Rattus norvegicus: one gene and its partner. The protein of the gene in region 1 purifies or fractionates together with the protein of each later gene. This does not show direct contact. Links are inferred from orthologs where the notes say so. Each region holds a gene or a part of one and is shown on either strand. Other genes may lie near its edges. The genes, in order: Prdm16 and Ctbp1.

The links.
Region 2: the proteins of Prdm16 (region 1) and Ctbp1 purify together in Homo sapiens (affinity purification with mass spectrometry; 3 studies listed by BioGRID and IntAct, with this or other methods). This does not show direct contact. The link is inferred for Rattus norvegicus from reciprocal best matches to the Homo sapiens genes PRDM16 and CTBP1.

What each region holds. Positions count from the first base shown.
Region 1 is NC_086023.1:170,480,959-170,491,121, reverse strand, and holds the start of Prdm16 (PR/SET domain 16), read left to right. Parts: upstream 1-5,317; 5' UTR 5,318-5,374; coding exon 5,375-5,411; intron 5,412-10,163. UniProt on the Homo sapiens protein: Binds DNA and functions as a transcriptional regulator. Displays histone methyltransferase activity and monomethylates 'Lys-9' of histone H3 (H3K9me1) in vitro.
Region 2 is NC_086032.1:81,686,533-81,695,928, forward strand, and holds part of Ctbp1 (C-terminal-binding protein 1), read left to right. Parts: intron 1-1,094; coding exon 1,095-1,249; intron 1,250-6,741; coding exon 6,742-6,886; intron 6,887-8,518; coding exon 8,519-8,725; intron 8,726-9,396. UniProt on the Homo sapiens protein: Corepressor targeting diverse transcription regulators such as GLIS2 or BCL6. Has dehydrogenase activity. Involved in controlling the equilibrium between tubular and stacked structures in the Golgi complex.

The DNA of each region.
Region 1 (10,163 bases):
GGATTGGGGAAGGCAGGAGAGAGGGAGCCGGGAGTGCACAGGGATGTGCAGATAGTCCCACAGGAAGAAGGGGAAATTCCTCTCGGAGCACCACTCCTCTTGGGCTTAAACTGTGGCTCATGGGGGTGGGCTGCGCCTGCTAGCCCTCAGCCTGGCCCTGGAACTAACCGTTCTTGCCTGCCAATCAATCACACAGAACTCTGAAGAGAAGGACGAATGGCCCCAAGTCACAGAAGGATAACCGAAGGAGGGAAATCACCTAGCAGCTCCCACCAGTTAGTTGCAGCTGTGGAGTGCAGCGCCACACAATCCCAAATGCAAAATTTGGTTTCCAAACTGAGTGTCAGCTGTACGACGGGCCGGCCGAGTCTGCCACTGAATCATTAAGTAGTAGGCGACTCTACAAAACGAAATGTAGTTTCGGATTCAAAATCAGTTGAGTAGACTGGGCTACCTCGCTCCACATAGCTCTGGACATCACTGCGCTCCGCGCACTATGGCTTCCGAGCCTCTAGGCTTGAGAGACTCACAGCTTGGCGCTTTCGTTGCTGCCGGGGCCCTCCCTGCTTGCGCTCGCTAGAAGCGGGAGCATCCTAGGCTGGCAGTGCGCAGAGCCGCGAGCGGGTGCCACGCGGCTTCAATGGGCTCAGCGCACTACTGGGCTCCAGAGCTCCAAGGCATTACCTGCAACGAAGTTGCTGCTGGTGAGCACGGGTGGAGGGAAGGGACCTACTAGCTGTACCGCTGCATGGTCGCAGACCAGTACGTGCCTCAAGGACACTCTTGGTGAGAGCCTCAGATCTATATTCGTTGGTGGATTTTGTAAGGGTTGGGGAAATCATGAGGAAGAGCATGGGAAACCAATTCCAATTCCGATTGTTATAGCTCTCCCGGTGGCTGTAGCCTTAGTGCAGTTGTAAGGAGTGGGGGGTGTTTCTCTGTATTTGATCCCGCACACTTCTCTCTTCAGGCAGGAAGGAGTCCTTGGTGGCTTCCTATGCCTTCTGGAGAGCACATCTTTTCCTCAAGATGTGAAAGCCAACTCCCTTCTGAACTCAAACAGGGAAGAGGGTGAGGGATTTCAGGCCCAATCTCCCTGTGTCTACGAGACCAAGTGTGCAGGCGAGTGGCGAATCAACTCCTAATTGTCACCACTGCAGGGGCTCAGGACGGTGAAATTCTGCTGGAATCCCTTAGGCGGCTTCAGCACCCGTGCAAGGATGCCTACACAGGCCTCTAGGACAAGACCAGTGGAAAAGGAACAGAAGTCACCCTGTGATACAAAGAAGTCCGTTTCTGAACATGTGGGGTTTGAGATCGGCTACAAGGTTGCATTCCTCGAAGTCTTGGTGGAGAGCACCCCACACCTCCCAGAAACCCACTTTGGAACCAGAAACTGGTATTGACCCTGGGAGGTCCCAAATCTTCAGAGAACCCCTTGGACGGGAAATTCCGATCACTGTCCTGTTCTGAAGGTCATCCAGGTCACATCAAGGTTCCCTGGAGCTAGGAGGGCACACCGGCAAAGGGGAATCTCAAAATGGCTCCAGGGTAGAGCACATAAAATGAAGATGGGTGCTACCTGCCCCCCTTGGAGCCACTCCCTAGACCTGCATGGGGACAGTTCTTTGGGTGTTTTGTACCCTATCCCAAGCACCCTAATGTTAGAACCTATCTATAGGCGATCTCCTTGCCTCAGGCAGGAAGGTGACTCCTAGCCCCTGTCTCTGTTCTAACCAACACCTCCACCAAAGACATGGAAGACAAAAACACTCCCAGTGGTGAGGGGATCCTCATCCATCTTGGCTTGGTGGCTCATGTGCCACAGTAGGGTGAGGACCCGTAGTCTGACAAAGATCCCTCCCAGGACACTTCCAGCTTGCCTGGGAATAACACGTGGCAAGGGAAGGAGAGGTGCTTATATTTTCTTTTCTATCAGAGGGGACCTGCAGTGCCACAGCGGGAGGTAGCGACTGAGCGTGTGGGGGCGGAAGAACCGAGAGGAAAATGGACAAGAGACTCTGGTAGTCTAGCCAGGCTGCACAAGGGGCTGTAGTGAATCTCCACTCACGTGCACACCAAGGGTAAAGGTGCCAGTTCTGACCCCTGCACTTCTCCAAAGGCTGGCTTCCCCTAGGAGGCCTGGGACGGGGTGTGGCGACAGAAAGGGACTTTGTGGACCTTAGTAGTAGGAAGGAGCCGGAGGAGTCAGAGCTCCCTAAGTGACCGAGGACCACTCCCTTAGTCTGGTCCTTCTCCGGTCCCCAAGAGTGATCTGATGAGGTTCACAGCCTCTTTCTCAGTTGGTTAGAAGGGGTGGGCATCTCTGGTTTGGAGCAGAAGGGAAGTTGGTGGAAGTCTCTCTACTGGCACCACTCCCCTACCAGCAATGAAGTTAGGCAGTAGGAGCAGTTGTTCGTGCAGGGAGTTACTCCAAACAGGGAGTGAAGTGGCAGCACTTCTCACCACGGAGCGTATGGTCCCCAAGCTCCCCAGAGCTTGACTCGGTTTGAAAACTGTTCTTGAAGCATTTAGTAATAGCCATTCCCCCCCCACAGGACTTCCACTTGCCCACACTTGTTCCTCTAAGTGTCGACTCCCATCCCTGCCAAAAAATTTTCTTGGTGGGATGGAAATACAAGAAGGCCTCCTAGGGGACCTCTGTCTGATTTTCTGTGCTTTCTCGCTCTCCTTGAGGAATTCCTCCACGTCGGACCGCTTAGCTTCTAAGTCTGGCCACGTGGGGGCAGGGCCTGGCCAAGGCCAAGGCTCTCCCAGACCGGAAGGTCCAGCACCTAAGAACCATCGCAACACCTGAGGGGTTCCTGGTCAGCCTCAGTTCCAAGGCTTCTTCCCCAGGCAGGTCATCCCCCAAACTCAGAGGCTGGCAGCCAAGAGCAGGAAAGACTCGCTACAGCTAGTTCCCAACACCTCGGGCCAGCAAGGGTCAGCTGCCTGCTCCCATCCTAGACTGATCTGGTGCAATCTGGCCAGAATTCTGTGTGCCCCTGAGTGGAGATGGGACCAGAAGGGGGACTTGAGTGAATTGGACACCCTAGAAGTAGGACCATTATGTGTGTGTGTGTGTGTGTGTGTGTGTGTGTGTGTGTGTGTGTGTTGGTTGGGGGGGGGACCCCCGGCAGCCTTCAAGTCTAGAGAAAAAGAAGCCAGGGCTGGGCTAGGGTGGGGAAGATCAGGGCCCCACATCAGCAGAGCTTTTGATTAGCATCTTTGTGTTTTTCCTGGTGTTCTCCAAATCTCAAGGGACACCTAGGGTGCCACACCTCTAGGTGACCTTGAGCCTTCTTTGCTGTGCTGCTTAACCCAGGGTATGCTCACCACGGACTAGAGGCCATCGGGGCCAAGATTGAGCAGTATCTCCTGTGTTGCTGGACTCCGTCACCACCCCGTGGGGGTGAGCAGATTCGGGGGCCCTCCAAGATCCACCAAGAGCTGCAGTGGTCCCTCCGGTCTGCAATGGAAGTCCCTCACCACGACTCCCAGAACCTACTGCTATAAACTGAGTAGATCTGTGACTTAGCCCAGGTAGAGACTGAGAAAGGGGGAAGAGCCAGGCCTTCCCACAACAGGGCCTCCATCTGTGCAGCCAGCTGGGTGCAGGGCTAGGCACCCGAAGCGGTGGGCTCCTCAGATAGGTCCGAATCTCCGCAGGGAAGTGCCTCCTTAGGCAGTCAGCGGGCAGTCGCTGCCGCCAGCTCTGGAGCTCTTCTCTGGGGTAGCTTGGGCCCAACAGCACTCTCCATTGGGTGAGGGAATCTATAGGGAGGACTCTGGGGGATTGCTGTTTTAACGGGATTTTGGTGTGCAGATTTTAGTACTAGGAGACCAGTCACAACAAAGAAGGGGTGAGGACGGCGAGAAGCCTCACCTGGGGAGCAGAAAGACCCAAATGGCGCCCACCCCTGCGAGGGCTCAGGTGACATCGTGACAGCACTGAATCTTGTTGCCTTGGAGGGACCTTGGTGTTCGGGGAGGGCGCCCAGGGCAGTGACCCAGTCCCGCAGCGCCTCCGTTTGTTTCCAATTCAAACTCAAACCGTAGCCGTACCCGAAGGGGGAATCTACACTCACCCTGTATGGCCTCTTAGTTGGGGCCACCCTGCTCTTGCCCAGCCAGGCCCCTCACTGGCCTGAGCTTGGAGTGTGAAGGCTTCAAGGATAGAGCGCGGCCAGTTTCCTGCCCGCACTCCTCCACCTGTGCTTCGGGTTCCCCAACCCTAGCGGCACCTGGGCCGGTAGAAGCCGGAGGGGAGTGTCCAGAAAAGACCCCAGCTCCCGAAAGGGGCTAGCTCCAGCGCTTCCGCACCCGGTACTCACCTGGGGGCCGCGGCCGCAGCCCAAGAGGGCGCGGAGACCGGAGCGCACGGGCCCACCCCGGAGATGCAGAGGTGCGGGACACCCCGGGACGCCAAGGGCAAGATGCCGGCCTTGACGCCGCCGCCCCCCGACGCGGAGCGCGCTGGCCTCAGCCGCCGCGCCCGACCGAGGACCGACGGCTCCAGCGCCGCTCGGCGTCCCGGGCGGTGGCAGAGCTCGGAGCTGGCGGCGCCTCGGCTGTTTGTTTTTGAGCCTCGGAACCCGAAGCTGCAGCCACCCGGTGGGGGCGGGGGGAGGGGCTGGGGGCGGGAGGCCCGCGGGGGGCGGCGGGCGGCGGGGGCTTCGGAGGAGCCGGGATCGGGCGCGTTGGCCCCGACACCCCCTCCGCGAGTGCGGGGTGCGGGCAGGGACCGAGGGCAGTTCGGGAGGAGAGAGCTCTGGGGCGACGACGAACGAAAGCTTTTTAATTAGTAATAAAACGCAATAAAACGCTGCAAAAGCAGCCCGGACCCGCGTCCGAACTATCAGCGCCTTTGCGGGAGATCGAAGGAAGTCGCGCAGAAACCCGCCGCGGGCCAGTCTCCTCTGAGGCTGGGCTTGGGTAGGAGCCACAGCGCTGCGCAGCGCAGGGCCAGGGCGGGGGGACCGTCACCTCGCCTCCAGGGCTACCTGGGTCCTTTTAAAGTGTCCGGGGTGCGGGCCCCGGGCGGGAGCGACGAGCAAGGAATGTTTTCTTAAAGGGCCAGTTCAGAGCTGCGCTGAAAAGGGGGGGGAGGGGGGAGAGAGAGAAGTGAGGTGAAGACCGAGAAGGCCTCGGAGAGCCCCCCAATCCCGCGCCGAGGCGGCGGCGGCGGCGGCGCGACGAAGAGGATGATGAACACATTGCAAAGTTTTTTTGGCCCCGGCGAGGGGTGTCAGATTGAGTGCTCTGTGCGCATGTGCGAAGGTGTCCAAACTGACAATGCTAGGGAGATGAAGATAGTGTGTAGCTGCTTCTGGGCTCAAGGAGGAGGAGAGAGATTCCGCGAGCCGACACCATGCGATCCAAGGCGAGGGCGAGGAAGCTAGCCAAAAGTAAGTCTCCCGCGCTCGACCGCGCCGCGTCGCCGGGCCCGGGCCGCGGGGCCAGGGTACCCGGGCCAGGGGTGCGCGTCGGGGCGCGGTCGGCGCGCCCGCGGCTCCGGCCCCCGGTCGACCGCGCGGCCCGGGGGTGCTCCGCCTCCCGCGCTCCGGGGCGGCCGGGCTCGGCGCGGAGGCTCGGGGCGCCCGGGCCGCGCGCTCCCCGAAGGCGCCGGCCCCCTCCCCGCCGAACCCCCTCCCCCCCACAGTGTCAGGCGCTCGGGCCCGGGAACCCGAGGCGCGCGGTGGGGGCCGGGGAGGGGGGCGGAGGGGGAGGGCCGGGGGTGGAGGAGCGAGAAAAGCGAAAGTTAGCGAAAAGTTGACGAAAGGGGAGAGTAACTTTTCCTCTCGCTCGCTCTCTCCCTCTCTCTCCGAGTGGCTCTCAGTCCTGGTCAAATCATATTCCGGGCTTTTGAAATAGTGGGCGCTAGAGCACCGCCTTTGGCGTCCGCCAGCCGGGCTCAGAGGAGGGAGACCCTGAGCCGGGGAGGGGGCGGAGGAGGGGGCGCGGGCCGGCGCCCACCGGGCTCCCCGGGAGCAAGGGCAGGACGGCCGCAGCCGCCGGGGAAGCAACATGGAGACTTTTTCCTGCGCTCGAAACTGTGCTGGTGAAGTTTATTCCCAAGTGGTGCCCCGCGTGGTGGCCGGCGCTCCTCTGTGATCCTCGCGTTTCTCTCGGGTCGCCCAGTGCCGGCGCCTCCGGCAGCGGGGTCCCCACTGGCCGCCGTGCTACCCGCCGCCCTGCTTCGCCTGGCCTCACTCCGACCCTCCCGCACATGCTGTCCTCGGCACCCGCCAGCCCCAGAGGGACCAATGCCCCAGCTAGGCTGCACGGGCCCGGGGCTTACTTTCTCTTTCGCTCCGCCTCGGGCCGCGCCTGGGGCTGTGCGCGCAGCCGGCAGCGGGCTGGTCCCCACCGCAGCCTACGGGCTCCCGCCGTCCGCACTATGGCCACCTCGTCTCGGAGCTGCCCACGCGCCCTCCGCCCTGGTGCCGGCGCCATCGGCACAAGTCGGGCCCGGGGCTTCATCCTTTGCAGCCAGCAGGTGGGGACCCGCTGCAGCGCGGCCGTTGAAGCACGGCTCCGAAAACCCGGGCCACGGTCCGGCTCCAGCGAAGCGTTGAGCGCTGTGCGGAGAGGATCCCAGTCGCTCGTCCCGGCCGCCCCCTTTTTTACCATGGGACAGAGAAAGGGGCACCCGGCACGCGGGCTCCAGGTCCCTGCCTGATCACCAGGCCGTTCGGTCTGCGCTTCTCGGGCAGGATCCTGCCTGGCCGGACCTCGCGGCTTCCAGAGCCGAACTCTTAGAGCATGAGCCTAGCGAGCGGGTGTGGGATCCGCAATAGTTTTCCGAAAAAGTCAGGCACTTTGAGCTCCGGACCCTGCTGAACTTGGCCCCAAGGCGGACCGACTGCCTTAGGCCACGCGCCCACTCTGCAGGGAAAAGCAACTTCCAACCTCTGCCAAGCTTCCCTGAGCTACGCCTTGGAGTTCGTGGCCCCTCGGTTAAGAGCCCCTTTCCCACCGAGCTGCCTGGCCAGCTGCCCTTGACCTCGGCCTTCTGGGCCACCCATGACCTCTGACCCCTCTTGGTGCGAACAGGGGCAGTAGGTTCCCAGCGGATGCGAAGGGGCTGTGTACGTGTTGGGTGACTCTCCACGACGCACGGAGCGGGTGTACCGGGTGCTGTTAAGAGTACGGTGTGCACCGTGGCCTCTGGAAGTCTCGACCCCTGGCTGCAGGCTGGATGGTCAGGCTCTGGCCGCAGAGGAAGGACCCAAAGCTGGGAGGAGAGAGGAAGGAGTAGAGCGACTGTGCTTTTTGTCGCCGCCTTCGCTGCAAGCGAGAGACTGGCTCAGCGCACCCAGCGCGGCCCCGGAAACTTTCCAGAGGCCCACACCCGCTCGGCGCCCTGCTGGGCCTCCTGCTCTACCTCCACCAGGTGGGGAAGGTCACCTGGCCCAGGCCGCCCTACGTAGGACCGGAATGGGCGCCGGGCGACATCTTGAGGCCTTCCTTGGAGGCCAAGAAACGAAGGACACAACCGGTGTGAGTGCACAGTTCACGGTTTCCTTCCAGGACATTTTGGAAACAGCCCACAGAAGCTTGCCCGACAGACCCAGGGTCTCCGTTTGAATGTCACTCTGGAGACCCGGTTCCAGGCTATGTGACTATTACTGCTACCACCAAAGCCCCTTCAAGAAAATGGGTGAAGTAGCTCGGGATGGAAGACAACCCAGGGCTCACTGAAGAATTTCTTATTCCATAAGACAATATTTTAAGCGGCCTTGGAAGGCTCCTGGGAACCTAATTCCATTACCCGAAGCAAGGGTGACCAGCAGACACTCGGCAGCCAGTCCAGAAGCCTCCTAGGCTGGCCGACAGGGTCAGGGAATAGGAGAAAGGAGCAAGGTCATGGTGGTTCAGGGTTTTGTTCTGCCCTTGTACTCAGGCCCCTGAGCTGTGATGGAGACTGTCCTGAGGACAGAAGGACGGATGGGCCAATGGATGTAACATCAGGACACAGGGCTTGGGTGTGGGGCTGTCCCAGAGTGTGCATCTTGAGGTATAATTTCGTTTGTATTTCCTGGCGATCCCACTCCAGATCTCTGTCTCCATGGCTTACTCAAGCTGGGCCTTTTAGGTGATTCATTTGGTAGAATTTAAGGGCCCAGAGTAGATGCTTCTTTTGAGCCTTCTAAGGCTTAAAGTCTCCGAGGCACCCCCAGTGAGGACTAAGATCCAGTTGGTGGGAGGCCTACATAGGGGGGCAGAGCGAAAACAGTTCAGATAAGGGGTCCCCTTACTCAACCTGGGCCAGTGCTGGCCAGTAAGGACTTTAGGCTGCCTTGGCCCCACATTTAAAAACGAAATTCTTAACAATAGTGTAATTGTTCCACCGCTGGTGTGAGCCAGGTGGGCAGTTGGGGGCTCAGTTGGTGATGCTGCCCTCCTGACCTTTAGAACCTACACAGCACAGCTTGGTCTCTCTCTATAGCTAGGATCCCTACTAGAGCCACCCTAGAGACCCGATTTCTATGGAGGTGACAGACCCCGTTGGTCCTAAATACCACACATCCCACTCTGCTGGGTGTGGGACTTGGAGTGTTGCATATGTTGAGGGTTATGAATTGTTAGGGCGGTGTGAAAGATCGAAGGCCCAGCTTCAGGCCTGAGTCCTTCCCGTTGAGACATGCAGGGGTGTGGGTGGCAGGTGGCTAGGCTGGCTGGCTCTTGTCCTCTTTCTACCCTCCCCAGGGTAGTGAGAGCCCAGGGGACAATCTTTTTCTCTGCAACTGACCGATGAGAGCTTCAACAGCAGCAAGAACCTGAGAGCGGGGTAATTGATTGTCTTGCCCGCTTTAGGCGAATGGTGGAGCCCGCTTGTTGCAGGGGTGGAGGGCAGGGCTGTCGGACCAGTGTTAGAGGGATCAGTGGCCTGGTATGTGTGTGCAGGTCTTGCCAAAGTTAGTTTGTAGAGCAGGTGTTGGATAGGTCTGCTGGGGGTGGGGTGGAGGGCTCTGCCCCAGGGTCTCTAACCATCCACTGACTTGGGGTGCCTGCTTCTCCAGCAGTCTGGAGGCCTGGGAACTACAGGTTCAGGTTAGACCTCCTATCCCCTGCTAGTGCTGCAGTTTCTACACCCCCAAACCCCTACCTGGGCAGTGCTAGGGGCAGAGAACCAAAAGGCTAGGTAAGGGTGGTGTGAGCTCCCTCCCCAGAGGGAGGCACTGCCTCAGCTGCCACTGCTTACAGGGCTTCTGTGGGGTGTGATTAGCCCTCTGTTTTATTCAATTAGGAGGCAATTAGGGTCCTTGAGGGGAGGGGGGGCTGGGACTGGTAATTAAGGTTATGTATAATTAGAGTTTCAACAAAATTATCCAGGATTTAAAAAAAAAATCTTTTCAGTAATTTCGTTTAAAAATTTCAAATAGCATTAAATACAACTTATCAGGTTTTGAATCAAAACCGGGTTTCGAGCCTTGGGGTCCGAAGCTCACTCAGTAGAAGGCTGTGTAGCACCTTCTCAGTTCAGGAAAGAACTTCGTGAGGTGGAGGAAATCTCTTTCTCTCTCCCTCTCTCCTTTTCTCTCCTTCCCCCTGTCTGTCTCTATTTCTCCCTGTCTCTCTCTGTCTCTCTGTCTGTCTCTGTCTCGTCTGTCTGTCTCTCTCTGTTTTTCTCTCTCTCTCCTCAAATTCATAGAAAATGATGGGCCAGCGGTAGTTAGCAGGTTTCAAACTGCACCAACTTGAGACTATGACCCAGACGCTACTATGTGGGTGCCTTTCTACTTGGGGGACACTTTCTGGCTTCATGGTTGTTCCTGCCTGAATTTTCAGACCCCCTCCACCTGGCTCAGAAATACCCAGTGTGAGCAACTGTCTGTTTACTCTTCCCTTGCCCAACCTGGGCTCTCCAGAGTGCACACACAGGTGTCCCTGCCCATCCAGGGTAGGGACAGTGACGTGCATTGTGAGTTGCCCTGTCCCTTTTCTGTTCAGCAGCAGCCTGGGAAGAGACCCTCAAAGTACCTGTGGGTATCCTCCACCCTCCCTCCAGGGTAGGTGTGAGCTGGCCCCTGGCAGGCAGGTATCCCCTCCACTGGGAAAGAGGGGGGAAAGAGTGTGGAACCTTGGAACCCCTCCTCCAGAGGTTAGAAGGTTAGAGAGCCTGGACAGGTGCAGTAACTCATACAGTTGCAACC
Region 2 (9,396 bases), on another chromosome or scaffold:
ATTGTCTTTATGTGACATGGATTCTTTGAGGCACTTCTTGGCACTGGAAGTTTGGGGTAGCCTCTGTAACTGAAGGCGAGAAAGGTGAGTGTGGACTGCACAGGCTGCTGCTAGTCAGCAACTACTGCGGGCTCCCTCTGGCCTGCTCAGCACAAGACTGTGGTGACTTGTTTCTTGTCCTCCACTTCTCACTGTGCCTTGGTCAGCTTTTGGAAGGGCTGGACAAAGTCCTGCCTTGTGCTGTGCTACCTGCTACCATGGACCTACCTTTAGCCTCCTTAAGGTGTCTGCTGCCCAGCTGGAGGTGGCCAGACAGTACCTGGGAAATCCTTGCTCCTGTATTTGGCCCCAGGTGGGGTCTAGTTTAGTGTGTCATGTTGGGAACAAACTGATTTTGTATCCACAAAGGCTTTGATGGAGCTAGGAATCAGACCCAGGGCCTCACACCCACTAGACAGATGCTCCTGAGTTGCACTCCAGGCCTAAGGTTCTTTCTCACCTTGATCTGGGAGGAGGGATCTGAGAGTGTCATTACCCCTGCTTGCCCCCCTTTTTTTCTTCACTGTCTTCACTGTTTTTAGCCTTTGAAATCTACACTAGGAATGATATTAATTAAGGTCATATGCAAAACATCACTCTGTGGTCACTTTGTGGGGTTCTGGGCAGTCACATGGTGGTTTTAGGCATCAAAGAGCAACCAGGCACTTTCCTGAATCGAATCATTTTGTGATCTGCACATTCCTGTGTTGACAAGACAGCCTATGGCTGTAGGGAGTCAGGGTGGAGGTGCCTCCTACCTCCCCTGACCTCCTGTCTACCACAGCCTCCCTAGGGTCTACAAGGATTTTAGGTCCTATGCCCTTGAGGGATTGATGGACTGAGTCTACTCAGTCATCAGTAAGCTATAGAAAACTATTTTCTCCTTCTCAGTTTTAATTTGCTTTTTACAAAGCCCCCATGTAACCCCATGTAACTCAGGTGCTGAGTACAGCAAGTCCTCAGGGCTGATCTTTCCAACTCGAGTGGGTAGTACTGCCCTCAGGTCACAGACTGGAGCTGCCAAGGGCATTAAGTAGTCTGCTCCTCTCTTGCAGGCGTCCGACCTCCCATCATGAACGGGCCCATGCACCCCCGGCCCCTGGTGGCGCTGCTGGATGGCCGGGACTGCACAGTGGAGATGCCTATCCTGAAGGATGTGGCCACAGTAGCCTTCTGTGATGCGCAGTCCACACAGGAGATCCATGAGAAGGTAGTGTCATATGCACCTAGTAATAGTTGGCTAATCTTTATGGGGGTGTAGGGGACTCCAGAGCCTGAGCCAGGCAACCTCAGGCTGCAGTCTGAGTCAGCACACAGCCTGTTCCTTGGCCTCTGGCCACAGTGGGTCTGAATACCACCTGGTCTTGTGTGGCCTGTCCCTGTGCCTGGCCTGGTCAGGAGGTGTAGAGATGGCTTACTCTGTAGCTTCTTGACATATATCATAGCCAGTTCATTGGAAGCGGAACTGTGGGCACCTGGCAGTGATTGTGCTTGATGCTACCTGGCATACAGAAAAAAGGACCGATATCCTCACCCAGTGCCTGCCTAGAGCTTGTGGTCGGGTGGTTAGCAGCTCTGAGCAGCTTCTGTGATTCATGTTTGCTCAGATATGCTGTGTTTCTTTGTTACCTGGAATGTATTCATTTAGTTTCTGCTTGTATCAAAGTTAATTCATACTTTGTATTGAAGACAGCTTGAAAATGTTCTTAAAACAGTCTAAAGAGCTTCAGGAGCTGACAGGGATTGAAACCACAAGGGACCTGGCACCTGCTGATATGGATGGTCTGCATGGTTAGCCTGAGACTTGCTTCACTGGGAAGACCGGTGAGCTCTGTTCTTGCCAGCACTATGGCCTCAAAGGCTGGGTGCAGATGTTGCCTCAAACCCAGAGGGCAGTGAAACCCATATCTGAACTTATTTTCACATAGCCTACTACTCAGCCTTCTAAGTCTGCCAGGTATGGGATTTAGCATGTAGTGAACCTACAGCCTTGCTTCCCAGTGGCTGCAGAGTATCTGGGACAGTCATTTCAGTCTGAGCCCAGTGCATGTCTGTAGTCCTTGGGTACTTGTCACTTCTGTATAGACAATCAGTTATAAGAAGGTAAGACTCTGTGAGTAGAATAGAGCTTCTGATCTACGGGAGACCCAGTCTGACTACGGGATGGACTGCCTTCCGCCAAGAGAAAAACTGAGATTGTCATGTTGAAGGTCATGAGGTAGATGTGAAGGAACAAAGTTGAAAACACAGGGCTTCAAGACACTAAAGCTAAAAGTAAAAATTATCACTTAGGGCATAGAAGCAAGCAAGCAAGCAGAGGTCAGAAGTCTTGATTCTTAGGCCTTGGGGGAAGAGTGGCAAATAGGAGGGGAGTAGGAGCAAGGAGCAGGTAAGTTAATGAGACACAGGGCTCAGGGGGAGCTGCTGTACAGACTGAGAATACAGTGGTAGATGGATTCCCCACACAACAGGAAACTGTGAATTAAGGACCTTGAGCCTGTAGCATGGCGTGGGCAGTAGTCAGTGTACTCTATACTGTTACACACCCTTATAGCATGCCAGCAACCATACTGGGGGCCACTGTCCTAGCAGACATGACCTGCATTCAAGTCATACCTTACCTGATTCACAGTAGCCAAACTGGACACCACTCAGTGTCCTGTGGTGACATGCTGGGCAGTGTATCCTGCCACAGATTCTGGCCCAGGCAAGGTATGACCACAGGCACATAGCACCTGGCGTACATGTCACTGAGGGAAATCACCTTTCCTCTTTCTGCTGGCTGGAAATTGGGTGTGATGGCTGAAGCTTGGGCAGAAACCTTGTACTCTAAGAGGTAAGGGATATACAGAGAATGGCACAGCCACAAGACAGGAGAATGGTACCCAAATAACTGAAAATGCAATAGGGCATGTGGAATCACACCTGTCTCTAGGTGTGGAAAGGAGAGAATTGTCTTATATATCTTTGCTGTATGATAATTTCCACCTTTTTAGAGCAAAAAGTCCTCACAACTGGCTGGGTGTGGCTGTCTGCAATGCACATGAGCACCTTAAGTGTCAGTGAAGCACATGACGAAGAAAACTTTACAGAGACCTTGGCTCTTCTGACGTGGATCCAGGAGGAGTATTAAAGGGACTGTGGATGTGAGAAAGTCACCTTGTGGCAGAAATCTCAGAGCATCCCTGGGCTGTACAACTTGTCAGCCAAATGATCTTTAGCCCAGGGCTGTATGGAGCCCAGGAGGAACCCAGGGACACGGCTCTCAGCATGTGCTAAGTGAGGACTTAGGGGAGTAGATGTCTCCGAAGGGATCCTGTGGAGATGGGAGAATGACGCTCTATGACCCATGGGTAGAGAACACCCCAGGCTAGAGGAAGTCTCTTACACCTAAGATGCTCAAAAAAAAAAAAGTGGGCAGAAGTGTTTAATATGACCAGCAGGCTGCAATATGACCTTGGGCTCAAGCTGTAGACACATCTGGAATCAGGACAGACGTTGAGAGGAGAGGGTTTCACTGTGTGCAGGAGTCCATTGCCACAGGTCACCAGGGCCCGAGACTCTGAGACCCATTGCTTATGCTTTGATGGAACAAAGCAGGGAACCAAGGGACGTGTGTGGCCCTCAGGTATTTGGGCAAAGTGCTGTTGAACTAAGATCCAGGCCTGGGATGGTTTCTGGTTGGATGGCAGCAGTTGGAAGAGCAGGAGACTTAATGCAACTTCAGAAGGAATCTGTAGGTATTCCAAATACTCAGAGGGAAAGTCAGCAGCAGTAAGATTCAGCGAGGTCAAGCGAGCCCTTTGTGCCCTGGCCCAAGGGCACCACATGTGAGGTCTTCATGCTCTCCCAGTCGGAAAAGGAGTCCTTGCAGAGAGCTGGCCAGAGAAGTACTGCTTATGTTAACCACTGAGCAAGTCCCTTTCTGGCCCCATGAAAACTCAAAATTCACACGGTAGGAGACCTGGATGCCACTTCCTTCTGTGGAGCAGGACAGCTGCAAGGACCCCAGGTGTCTGTGAAGTTGGATAGTCTGCAGCTTGACTGTGTCAGCAGGAAAATATCTGGCGTGATGGTGAGGTGGGAAGAGCTGCAGTTTCATATGATAGCTGTTGCTGTTCATACCAGGTGATAAAACCATGCCGGTTGGTTTGGAGTTTCAGTGTTCTCTCAGCAGGAGGTTGCCCTGACCATGAAACCTCGTGGTTTGGGGCATATGCTTCGTTCAGAACTTGTTGCCACTGGGTGCACTCAGGACCCATTTCCAGCCAAAGATAGCTGACCTACATTAGTCATTCATCGTATGTTCTGCCTGCTTTGAACATCTGGGACCCAGATTCTTCCATTCTGGTGTTGAGGACCAAGTCCACTAGGGTCCGATCTCTAACCTGGTTACACAGCTGATGGATGAGGAGATTGAGCTGCTTGCAAAGGATAGTTTCTTGGAGGCCTATCCTAAGTGGACAGACCCAGAAGCACCCATAGAAGAGGTACAGGCTGGGTGTTGGTGGTGACCTGGGCTGTAGACCTCTGCCCACTGTCTAGCAAGCTCACCCCTAGTATGCTTTTGTCCTGCATCTGGGCACAGGTGACTTCATACTAAGTACAAAAAAAAGACACCATGAAAAAAAAATTCAGAGAGAAACATAGGCAGATTTCACCCAGGAAGGCAAATTCATGCACCAGTAGTAGATGAACAAACAGTAGGGTGTATTTTAGTTGCAGAAAACCCAGGGTTGATATCAGCATGTCAGTTGGCAGTTGGACAACAGTGCCTAGAGCCTCAAAGGACCTTCCATTTCTAAGAAATTAATACAAGGAAATGAATTCACTAGCTTTTATCAAGGAAGAGTATCACTGGTAGCACTCAGTGCAGTAGGAAGTTCAGATTCTTTGATTCCCCCTTCCCTGTTGGTACGTTCTGCAGTGCGTTGAAATATACTTTTGAAAGCCGGTAGTCTCATGGTTAAGTGCTGAGGGTAAAAAGCAGGCATGGTGACACATACACAACATAGGTATCTAGCGTATGTATCTGTCCTGTCCACAGTCAACCCTTTGCACACATAGTGAGGGACCCATGAGTATTTGGTTGTCAGGTGTTAAATCTGTCAGCACCTGGTACATGTCAGGTGTTAAATCTGTCCAAAACTACAGACCCATCCTAATGCTACCCTGAGATCTTTCCATTTGGTCTGCACTGCTCTAACTGCCATGGGCCTCAACAGATAACCATTATGTGGAACTGATCTCTACTTTCCCCAGCCTCACCTGTTCTACGGAGCTGTCCCAGGTCCTTCCTGTGCTCGTGACTGACCATCTGAAGTCCATACAGCACAAAGTAGTCAATGACGTCCCTAAATCTTCCCTTATTCCTATGCTTTGGGCTGCCTCAGCTGTCTGTTCCCCTTTCACTCTTCCCCACATGGGTTCTCCATGACATCCCACTGTCAAATGGGTGACCGCTTTTCTATACAGGTCTAAGTATAATTGGGGCATATGTGGCCCCAATTCCCTCCTTGAAGACAGGGGCAACCATGAGTCTTTGCCCCCAAACTTATGCCACTCACCCTAGCATCCCAGAGACCCCTGTTTTAGCTTCTTATGATCTTCCCTCAGCTCCTAGTTGCGTCTTCCATGCATAGTAGTCTAAATGTTCCCTGGACCCAAAATGAGTGGGGAGGCTGTCCCTGTATTTGCCCTTAGGGTTCTTCATGACAGGCGAAGGCTGTTCTGCCTCAGTGACAGCTGTCTGCATTCTAGGCCATGCACCTGGCTATTGAGGTTGTGTAGTAGAAAAGAGAGGCTGCATCAGCCTTTCCCCGGGGAGCAGCCCACTGCCCCAGAAGGATGCCTTATGGCACTATTTTTTTTTTTTAGCTGTCTTATTATGTTCTTATGTCTTTACCTCTCTTCCGACTCTTATTCCACCCTAATCCCTTCCAACCCCCAACACAAGTGAGGAGAGAAAGAAGATCAAAGAGGTAAGGGGGTGTAGACCTCTTTAGACTACTTCCTGCTGATTAGGGATGTTGTGTTTCTTGGTGCCAGTCCAATCAGCAGTTGCTGTCTTTGGAGTACCTCTGGCCTCTCTCGGGGCTCTGGCATTTATTCCTTCTCCAGAGTCCCCAGAATTAAGCTATCTGCAGCTGACAAAGGTCATACCTCTCCTAGAGCATAATTAATAGCTGTGGACAAACTGAAGCAGCTCCATATCCCACACGTTACCTCAGCCCCACAGCTAACTAGACCAGCCGGCAGGACCTGTGTGGAGGAGGACAGGTGCCAGAGTTGGCTTATTACAGAATGTAGCGCCCTCTAGAGGCTGGCCCTGCCACTCCCAATAACGTGCTTCTGAGTGTGCTCGTTAACATGGGTGCTCTTCACACTTCTTCACGGAGACTGGTGAGGACTGGGCCTCATTGTTTTGGGCATGGAGTCTGGTTGTTGGCAGGTGGTGCTAGTAGTCTTTGCCTTTGCACACCATCCACAGCCTCTCTGCTGAGTCTCTTAATGGTGACATGCTGCTCTTCTGAGAGAGCTGTTCTTGAGAGAGCACAGCTGTCCCTGCATGGTGTTCCCAGTATCTTCCCTTGTGTCCCCTCTGCCTCCCATGCCCCACTGTTTTGGCTGGCCACTCAGCCTTTGGGTACCTTTGGTGGGTCCTGGACAGCTTAGTAAGCAACCTGTTTTCCTTCCATGCAGGTACTGAATGAGGCAGTGGGCGCCCTGATGTACCATACCATCACACTGACCAGAGAAGATCTGGAGAAGTTTAAAGCTCTCAGAATCATCGTCCGAATTGGCAGCGGGTTTGACAACATAGACATCAAGTCAGCTGGTGATCTAGGTAGGAGCTCTGAAGCCCCTGTCTCCATTTACCAGGGTGTCTCATTTAACCTTCAGGCTCTGTTGGGCAATCCCAGCCTGCTGGGACTGCTCCTTGGGTTGAAGATGATTTGGGGCTATGGGAAGGACAGGTTGTGGGGGTCTGCACAGGACATGGGTGTAACTTTATTCACTGTGTTGTCACCAACTGGCCAGGCCTAGGGTTTAGGCTGAAACAAGGGACCAGTCAGAGAGGTCATTGTCCTCTTCCCAGAACAGGGACTATGTGCCATAGTCATACTTGTACACACATGAAGCCATGTGTGCTCAAATTGTACACATATGCATGACTCTGCATCTGTGTATGCAGTTTTACTGAAGCAGTATGGCCATACTTAGCCATTTTAGCCTGTTTCTGTGCTAGTGGCCAACTGACAAAGCAAGGCTGCAGTCTCCAGTGTCTGCTGTTGACATCATTCTGCCTTCTGTTCCTTAAGGCTGTCTGGGGAACCACGGGCAGCTGAGAACTTGAGTAGTGTGGTGGGAAAGTCCGTCTTGTTCTGTTGGTTCATGCTGGCCTGGCATGCCACAGGGGCCAGAAGCTGGCCGGCCTTTCCTCAGCAAGGCCCCACCATTTCCCTCTATAGAGCTCACAGGCTCGACTCTTGAGCTAGGGATGGCCAAGTGCCGCCACTGTGGCCCAGATACGGGAAGGGCTGTGTCTTGTTTGCCTTATGTCTTCTCAGGGGTCAGTTTTGTTTCTGAGCCTCCAGGCTACCTACTACTGCTCCATGTTCCCTTGCTTATTTCAAGGGAGTTGTTTCTAGAGGATGTGTGGGTCCTGTCTTGGCTCCTCTTGTGTCAGGTACCTCTAATTCTTAAGATAGTTTCTACAAAAACAGTCCTGTCCCAGCACCTCAGTGAGAAGCACAGGCAGAAGTATCCAGCCAAGGTGGGAAGTAGACTTGTGGCCACTGTAGAGGATGGGCTCATGGTGGGATGGTGGGATCCTCCTCTGAGGACAAGGACCATGGGCAGCCCAAGGCAGCACAGACTGTGTCAGCTTACAGTGCCTGAGCTTGGGCTCTTGGGATAATTGGGGCACTGAGGTTAGGAAAGAGAAGCCCCATCTGACTTGTTCCCAGGACAGTGGGCATTGCTGAGCTCTGAAGTCAGGGCATTCCTGGCCTTGGAAGCTCTGGGGATCTGGAAGTTGTGATTCATGTAGTATCAACAGGTGGGGGCCGGCCAGTCCCAAGATGCACCTTGGCACTGGCCCTTTGCCAGTATGGCCATGGCTGCTTAGGAATTTTGAGTGCCCAGTGATCCACGCGGGGAAGAAATGAGTACTGATGGGATTGGTCACCTGCACATCCAGACTATTCAGGCTAGGGATGGTCAGAGAAGCACTTAGCTGTCCCTGCTCTGTCTGTTTGCTTGTTGGTTGTCACATCTTTGTTGTACAAGGCTGTGACTCCAGGTTTAAGTATGCCCAATGATAGAGACAGGTAGTCCTATCTGGTGGCTGTGGGATGTGTCTTCTGATGTGTTTCTGCTGAAGCAGTACCCTGAGGTTGCGCTCTGACTGCAGCACCTCTGATTGTGATGACAGGAGGCTGTGGGCCTGGTACATGTGTCTCCATGTGTATTCTAGGCATCGCAGTGTGCAATGTACCAGCAGCATCTGTGGAAGAAACAGCAGACTCCACCCTGTGCCACATTCTGAACCTATACCGACGAACTACCTGGCTACACCAGGCACTTCGGGAAGGCACTCGGGTCCAGAGTGTAGAGCAGATCCGAGAGGTGGCTTCAGGAGCTGCCAGGATCCGTGGAGAGACCTTGGGCATCATTGGACTAGGTGCGTTGGCCACTGTGACTCAGCACAAATAGCCTTTGTCTGTCTGTCCCCCTTGCACTTCATAAAGTTGAGGCCCCGGACTTTCTGGTTGTGTTGCTATCCTCAGCTCAGGATAGGACATAGGATAGAAAGTCCAGGGGCAGGGCTGAAGACACTAGGCTATGTCTTTCACAGGTGCCATCCATGGAGGTCATTCATGCATGGGCACGTGTGTATATTATATGTGGATGAAACAGATAGGGTATACACATGGACACGCTTAGATATGTATACAGTTACATACACACGCTGTAACTGACATGTTATTACTGAAGCACCACCTTGAGGGTGTGCTCTGGCTATAGCACCTTTGACTGTTGGTGTCATGGGGCTGTGGGCCTGGTACATGTGTACCCCACAGCTCCAAAGACTTGAGTGGTATGACCTCAGGGCCTACTTCTGTCCTACTTAGGTGGTACTCAGTTCCCACTCTCTCACTGCTGTTTGCTTTTTGTTGGTCCCCATTTGTTATGTGTCCCATAGAAATGGCACAATAAGTTGTGCCAGAGTTTCACCATTGAGGGCTCCCTTGTCACCAGACAGCCTACCCTTGGCTGACCCTAGCTGCACTGTACTCCTTCCTCAGCACTGCTGCCGCTTCGGTAGATGGGAAATGTGTGTGGGTCACCTGA